2 linked regions of the Xenopus tropicalis genome follow. The protein of the gene in region 2 interacts with the protein of the main gene of each other region in a biochemical or structural test. Links are inferred from orthologs where the notes say so. Each region holds a gene or a part of one and is shown on either strand. Other genes may lie near its edges.

The links.
Region 1: the proteins of gtf2i (region 2) and btk form a complex in vitro, tested with the Homo sapiens proteins (4 studies listed by BioGRID and IntAct, with this or other methods). The link is inferred for Xenopus tropicalis from reciprocal best matches to the Homo sapiens genes GTF2I and BTK.

The regions. Positions count from the first base shown.
Region 1 is NC_030684.2:37,668,025-37,671,851, forward strand, and holds part of btk (tyrosine-protein kinase BTK), read left to right. Parts: intron 1-560; coding exon 561-623; intron 624-2,336; coding exon 2,337-2,391; intron 2,392-3,565; coding exon 3,566-3,645; intron 3,646-3,749; coding exon 3,750-3,827. UniProt on the Homo sapiens protein: Non-receptor tyrosine kinase indispensable for B lymphocyte development, differentiation and signaling. Binding of antigen to the B-cell antigen receptor (BCR) triggers signaling that ultimately leads to B-cell activation.
Region 2 is NC_030678.2:100,524,667-100,528,493, forward strand, and holds part of gtf2i (general transcription factor II-I), read right to left. Parts: intron 3,026-3,827; exon of another isoform or gene 2,603-3,025; intron 2,318-2,602; coding exon 2,134-2,317; intron 1,504-2,133; coding exon 1,475-1,503; intron 656-1,474; coding exon 623-655; intron 1-622. UniProt on the Homo sapiens protein: Interacts with the basal transcription machinery by coordinating the formation of a multiprotein complex at the C-FOS promoter, and linking specific signal responsive activator complexes.

The sequences.
Region 1 (3,827 bases), on a different chromosome or scaffold from region 2:
TCACTCTAGGGCCAACACATACTTGAATAAATCCCACTGCAAAGTCCATATTGTATTGCCAAAAGCTCATTAACTGTACTTTTCTATAATTACCGCCTGCCCCAAGTAGGTGTTATTTTTCGTATGGACTAATGCGATATTTAGCGTATCTAAGTGTTTGTGAATCATGCGTTAGTATTATTTCTGTGTGAGAATTAACGCAATGCGGTAAAATGAAGGCATGCGGTAGCGCGAAATGTAACGCATGCGATAATACTTTAACGAATCATGCTTTTTTTGCGTCAATTTTAATGACGCAAAAAAGTGAATCAACCCTATGGTGTAAGGATGGGCAATATTTGGGGGACCATTTACTAATAGTGATGTGCGAATCTGTCCTGTTTTGCAATTCACATAAAAAAAGTTGCGTCGCTTGTGTTATATTTAGTCATTGTATTGTGTAGTCATTGCCCTGAGAAATGTACAATTTTTTTCTTAATTGTCTGATTAACCATTTCTATATGTAACAGCAATGAACCTTTGTTGTATTGTGATAAGAAATGTGTGTACATCTCTCTTAGGCTGGAAGGATACATACCTGGTAATTATGTTACAGAAGCTCAAGATCCACTGGAAATATATGAGTGAGTACAGTATGGGGTATGGTATGGTGTTTTATGCATATACAGAGTTCCTCTAAAGCTGTGCTGTCCAACTGGCGTCCCGCATGCCACAGCCCCCCTCTGTGTGGTCCCCCACCTGTCTGGCTGCTCTGACTGCTTACCTTTGTGTAAGCTTTAAATGGTGTCAGTAGTGAGATTTACTGGCCCCCTGCATGGTCACACCTCAGGTTCAGGATGTAAACTCGCTGTATTGTTTAAACATGTAATCCCCTGTACTCTTAACACCTTTTAATCCCTACATTATTCACCCCCTGCATTGTTCACACCTCAGGCCCAGACTGTTATCACCCACATTGTTCACCTGTTCACACCTCAGACTGTAGAAGCAGTGCCAGCATTGTGTCACTGTATGTACTGCCTTGCCCTATGCTGCCTGTGTGTATGCCATACACAGGCAGCATATGCCAGGCAGTATGGCACACACAGGCAGCATAGGGCAGTCAGAGTATGGCATACACAGGCAGCATATGGCAGGCAGTATGGCACACACAGGCAGTATAGGGTAGGCAGAGTATGGCACACATAGGGAGCATAGGGCAGGCAGAGTATGGCACACACAGGCAGCATAGGGCAGGCAGAGTATGGCACACACAGGCAGCATAGGGCAGGCAGAGTATGGCACACACAGGCAGCATAGGGCAGGCAGAGTATGAAACACACAGGCACATAGGGCAGGCATAGTATATCACACACAGGCAGCATAGTCCAGGCAGAGTATGGCACACACACAGGCAGCATAAGATAGGCAGAGTATGGCACACACAGGCAGCATAGGGAAGGCAGAATATGGCACACACAGGCAGCATTGGGCAGGCAGAGTATGGCACACATAGGCAGGGTAGGGCAGGAAGAGTATGGCACACATGCAGGGTAGGGCAGGCAGAGTATGGCACACACAGGCAGTACTCTGCCTGCCTTACCCTGCCTGTATGTGCCATACTCTGCCTGCCCTATGCTGCCTGTATGTGCCATACTCTGTCTTCCCTATGCTGCCTGTGTATGCCATACTCTGCTTGTCTTATGCTGCCTGTTGGAGGTGAACCTGGCAGGGGTTTGTATGTTAGCATTTGGAAATAGTTATTATATGGTCCCTAAGGTGTGTAATTATGTGCTGGGGGTTGCTGTGCTATCCACAGGGGAGAAGGAGATTTATGGATTTATGGGTGTCTCTAAATATGACATGATATAATTCTTTCACTTATTAATGAAGGGTGATATCCCTGCAGTGAGCACCAAGCATTTGGGTTTTGCTGCACTACCACCATTAATGTGGGTATGGTTTTAAAAGCTCTTTTGGTAACATGGGTGTGGTTTGAAGTGGGTGTGGTTTAAAAGGGGAGTGGTCAAAATTGGCTTCCATTATCTGCCCTCCGCAATGTAGGTCAGAAAAATTACGTCCCTCAGTACCACAGTAGTTGGACAGCGCTGCTCTAAAGGATAATGGCTCAAATATCCTGTCATATCACTTCTCATTGTTGTCAGAGGTCAATGATCTGTAGCATTATGCTATTTACTAACCCAGGAACAATAGAAGAGTTTTTTTTTAAAGTGAATATACATCTGTATACTTCTGTATTTCTTCTGTGTTTTTCCTGATAATGTACTTTCTATGTTTTTGCAATAAAAAAGACTTTAAAAACAAACTTGTGCCATACTTCTCTTTTCTCCCTCTAGGTGGTACTCCAAAAACATGACAAGAAGTCAGGCTGAAAAACTGCTACGAGCAGAGGTGAATAAAGTGGGCAGTAAGGGGATCTGTGGGGAAAAGTACAGAACAATAAGAGGTTACAAAGAAGGCAATATTGGTGTAGCTAAGTTATAGTAACTAAAGGGAAAGATTAGTAATAGGAGAAGCATTTGGTGGGGGTGTGAGGGATATATGATCAGGATTTTTAGAGAAAGAGGTGGAATTAGAAGAAAGTTGACGTGATCAAATACCACTGTATGTCAGGTCTGTCTTTCACCACATTTGCAGTTAAAAGTGGCAATGTACAGTATAATCCCTAGCATAGCCAAATTCTGTACAACGTAAAGGGGACTCTGCAGACATATTTGCTTCATTTTTTTCTGTTTAATTTTAAAAAGGATGTTTTGCATTCCCCTTTACTACAATTGCTGCATTGCAGCCCTGTGTAAGTGCCTAAATACCTTTGCGCTAGCTGGAGCCCGGTACACTTATTACATTTTCCTCCCTCCTGGGCATGCTGAACTATGGTAAATATTGGTTTTCAGGACCCCAACAATGACTAAAGGTGGCCATACACGTCAAGATCCGCTCGCTTGGCGGGGTCGCCAAGTGAGCGTATCTTCTCCCGATATCGCCCACCCGTAGGTGGGGATATCGGGAGAAGATCCGCTTGCTTGGCGACCCCGCCAAGCGAGCGGATCTTGACGTGTATGGCCACCTTTATTTAGGCTAATTCGGTCGTTTGGCCCTGGGGCCAAAAGATCGAATTATAACGACAGTAATGGGTGCAGTCAGTTCAGGGACCACATCAACGAGCCGATGCGGTCCTCAATCCGACTGAATTTTTTAACCTGCCAATCGATATCTGGACGATTTCAGGCCAGATGTGGATGGGCAGGCCCGCCGTTGCTGCCCCTACACGGGCCGGTAAGCTGCCGAATCGGTCCAAGGGACTGAAATCGGCAGCTAGAATCGGCTTGTATATGGCCACCTTAAGTCTTTTACAGTTGTACATTATTTTGACTCAGCAGCAGCAGACTCAGCCTTCAGCAGTGAGTGTGAAATTTATTTATAGCCCAACAACACAATTTTTTAAGCCTATGCATTTTTCAAAATATTAATAAAATGTATAGTTTTAGCTGCAGTAGGCTCTACGCCTCCTATGTGGTATAAGGTTTCCTGTTAAAGGGCTTCCTCATGGACTCCTGTGTTTCAGGATAAAGAAGGTGGCTTTATCGTGAGAGATTCCAGCAAGGCCGGAAAGTACACTGTATCCGTATATGCAAAATCATCTGGGTGAGAGATGTTTAAGGTTTCACACACAGACATTTATATGAATATAGCTCTTTCACACAGTGTATGCTATTGTGCTATATAATGTCTCCCCCTTACAATTGCAGGGAAGGTATTATACGCCATTATGTGGTGTGTGAGGCGCCTGGAAATCAATATTATTTGGCAGAGAAACATCTGTATTC
Region 2 (3,827 bases):
TCCTTGGCAGGATTTGGGAGCTTATTTGTGCAGTGTGCCACTGGCTTAGGAAAGCCCACTGATAATAGATATGTATATTAGCAGGGGCTCACTAAACATTTAATTATAGTTCAGTTGCAAGAGTCTGTAGGCCAACATTTTCAGAATTACATGGCCGGGGCCAGAAACAGGGACAGACAGAAAAGGCACGTGACTATGGAGCAACTGTGTGTGTATGTGGGGGGGTTACTGGGTACATACCTCTTCTGCCTGCCCACCTCTACTTCCAGCCCTTCTGTAACTCTGAAAAAGTTCAGCGGGTCATTAGTAGAGTATGGCATGGGGAAAGGGGGGGAGAGATGACGTACAAAGGATGCTGTATTGGTGGGCACTTGGGGGCAGATGACTGCATTTGATTTGCCTTGGGTGCCATTTCCTGTTGGCCTGGCACTGTATATGCCTTTGAGAAAAGAAAATAACCCGTTTTCTGTATTTTGTTATAATCTTTACCTTAGAGCGACACAGGTAAAAAAAATTATTTAATTTGCAATATTTTGTGGTGTGTGGCTTTGTAGTGTGTTGCAGGTGGGCAGGATTGTCACTTTGTAATGTAAAAAATATATGCCACATATAAACCTCTTACCATTTTCTGCTGACTGTCCGGATTCACTTTCTTCTGGATGAAAAACATGAAAAAAAAAAATATTTATAGTTATGTCGGGTCATGTTCTGTAACCTTCAGCCTAATGACACCTAAATTTCTTTGTGACAGGAGTATGATTATTCTATGAGAAAGCAGCAATATACAAAGGAATCCGTAATTCCCATATGACAGTAGACTTTATTGTAAGTGCTAATGCTTAGGGCAGCACCGGACCTTAGCCTGACCCCTTATCTCAGCAATCACCCATGCACAGCTGGCCCTGCTGTATTGCACATGCACGGATCACAGAAGTTTGTTTTGATTGTTTTTCATTTCCATTGCTTTTCCAAGTTTTTTTTTGTGTTTTAATTTGATTTTACCCTATAGGCAACCAAGCGCCTACATCCTAGACAAAGGCCCATAAAAGTCTACATGGTAAATAGGGCAAGGGAGGGGTAAAATTCCTGACTCAAAATGGCATTTGGTCCAAATTCTGAAAGAATGTTGCAAATAACTAGACTGATGCAGAGTATGGGATAATCAAGACTGGGACTGCTTATCACTGGCAAAGAATATGATTCATGCTATACAAATGAGTAAAAAAAAGAAAAAGCCTTGAGCAGCAGCACCAGAAACCAGTACAGCCCTGATGTCCTCAATTTATGCTGCAATAGTCTGCATTTTCTTGAAACTCGATCCCCGGAAGCCAATCAGAAACGTTTTACTCAATCATTTATACAGCTCAATAATTTACCAAATTAACATAATGTCAGACAAGTATGTATACACTGATTAAAGAAATTTAAAAAAAAAAAAAAAAATTATTATTTTTGATAAATTCTTCATACTTACGGTTGTTAAGAACCAGCCCTGGAAAAGGCCTGTTATAAAAAAGGAGTATAAAGTAGCATTAAATACATCATTGCAAGGCTTTTACACTAGAAGCCTACTAAAATCCACTATTTCGCTATTTATAAAGCACTACTAGGATACACACTGCTGTAAGAGAGGACAAGCATTATAGTAAGTAAGAAATCTGTATAACCATACAGAAGTGACATATAAGGTCATTAATGACCCTAAGAGGACGCAAGTGCAAGGACATAAACAGACGCAAGAGCATGAATAACGTGCAAGGCATGGGACAGATAGGGGATTGGAGGGTAATGCAAGCAACAGCACCCTGTTTGTGCCCTTTTTATACACTTTGACCACTGCGTGAGGAATGGGAAGTAGGTTCCTGCCACACAGAACTTATAAGTACTTACACTTAGGGGTCCATTTACTAAACAATTTTAAGATAATTTCGTATTTTTTCTAACTTTCTTTTTTTTTTAACTAATAAAAGATTTTGGAATGTATGCGAAAAGGGTGCAAAGGGTGAGTGACAAAACAGTGTGCAGTCACCCTTATGAGAATATGCAATAACAGTGGGCTTAATAACAAGATCTCTGTGGGTTTTAAAATCTATAAAAAAATCTATAATTACGTTTCAGTTAAATAACACTTACCTTATAACTGTAAACTTAATAAATTCAGCTGAATCCAGAATCCTACGCATAGAACTCATTTCAAGGTAACTGGGGGCTTTGAATGAAACTCCAGGAGGCATTCCATCAACTACCACACATCCTGGGTTAGTTGTAATTTTCCTGTAAGGGACTTTTACTGGAAAGTTCATGCCAATGGCTTCTCCTATAAAAATATAAAAAAAATATAATAATAAAGCCTTAATACCTTCTAAAAAAAATTCCAAACTGTAGATTTTTAGTTTAACTACAAAGATAATACATACAATATTAATCATCCTATACAGATGATGAGTATACACAGATTTGGGGCACCATCATTAATGGTGAAAAACACTTTTCCCTGGTCGTACTCCATATCAGCACTATCTGGGATATCCCCGCCCCCATGCCCCATCAGAAGGATCCTCCCCAAAGCTTTAAAAGCCACCCCCACCCCCTCTATGGCGTCTTTTTTTCCTTCTGCTTTCCTTGCTCCATTGGAAGCAACATTTTTGCTTTTTAGCCTTGGGAAAGCATTAGGTGACCGGAAATGGCACCTAGGGACTGGGGTTTTTTGGTCCATGAGATCTTTTCCCCTGCACATTACCTCATATCCTGGGATCTTCGGCTCTGTTCTGCTTGATAAGGTAGGACAATGCTGTTTGGTATATTTGATCCCATGTGCCTTTCTGGTTTGTCATAATGGCATCCAATGGCAAGTGCTAGTCCCCCCATCCGTATGCCCTCCCAGGCCGTGAGTGTCTGGTGGCAATGGTGTGTGGCCCGACACACTTAATATTTTTGCGGATGGGCGAGGGAGGTGGAAGTTAGCAGTACTCAACATTTAGTTAGTGGCCTGAGTCTGGCGATCTCCATATTCCTTTTTGTTCTACTGTGTGGAGAGAGTTTTTTTTTGAATAGAGCCAGAGTTCAAAGCCTACTGCCTCCCTCACAAAGTCTTTCCTAAGGTTTTGTATTAAGAGGTGTTTTAAAAAAAAAAAAAAAAAAAAAAGGGCCTGACACCCCACTGTCTTTAAACATTGGGCTGCATTATGTACTACAAATGGGTTAGTTTGCCTGCTAGTTGCTACATACCTGGATAGCTTTAGCTGAATGTAACCAGTCAAATATTATGGTTACTTGCAGACAGATTGGGTGATTCATTGAACCTTTCAGTTGCTCTGGATTGTGTTACAGTTGCTAGGGCAGAGCCATGTAGTAACCTTGGGAACTGCCTAATGAAATGCATTCCTGAGTAGCCTCAGGTGAATGTGATTATGTGCTAGCTACACTCTACCTGAGCTTTCCAGAGATTGCAGCAGTCCTGTGTTATGGCTACTTGCTGATACATGGGGTAATGTGTCAACTCCTTTCAGCTGCCCGCATTGTGTTATGGTTGCTAGGGCACTGTAGTGTAGTTACTATTAAGAACTGGCTAATTAGATGCATTCCTGAGTAGCCTCAGGTGAATGTGATTACGTGATCAGCTACACTCCAGCTGAGCTTCCCAGAGAGTTGCACCAGTTCTGTGTTATGGCTACTGCTGCTACACCAGGTAATGCACTAATATTTCACTTACTGTGGAAGGTGTTTATAGTAGTCGGGGCATTATAGAGTTGAAGTACCTCTGAGATCTGTATCTGCATTAGCTGTGTATAATTAAGTGTATGCACATGGATCCAGTACTTTGCCAT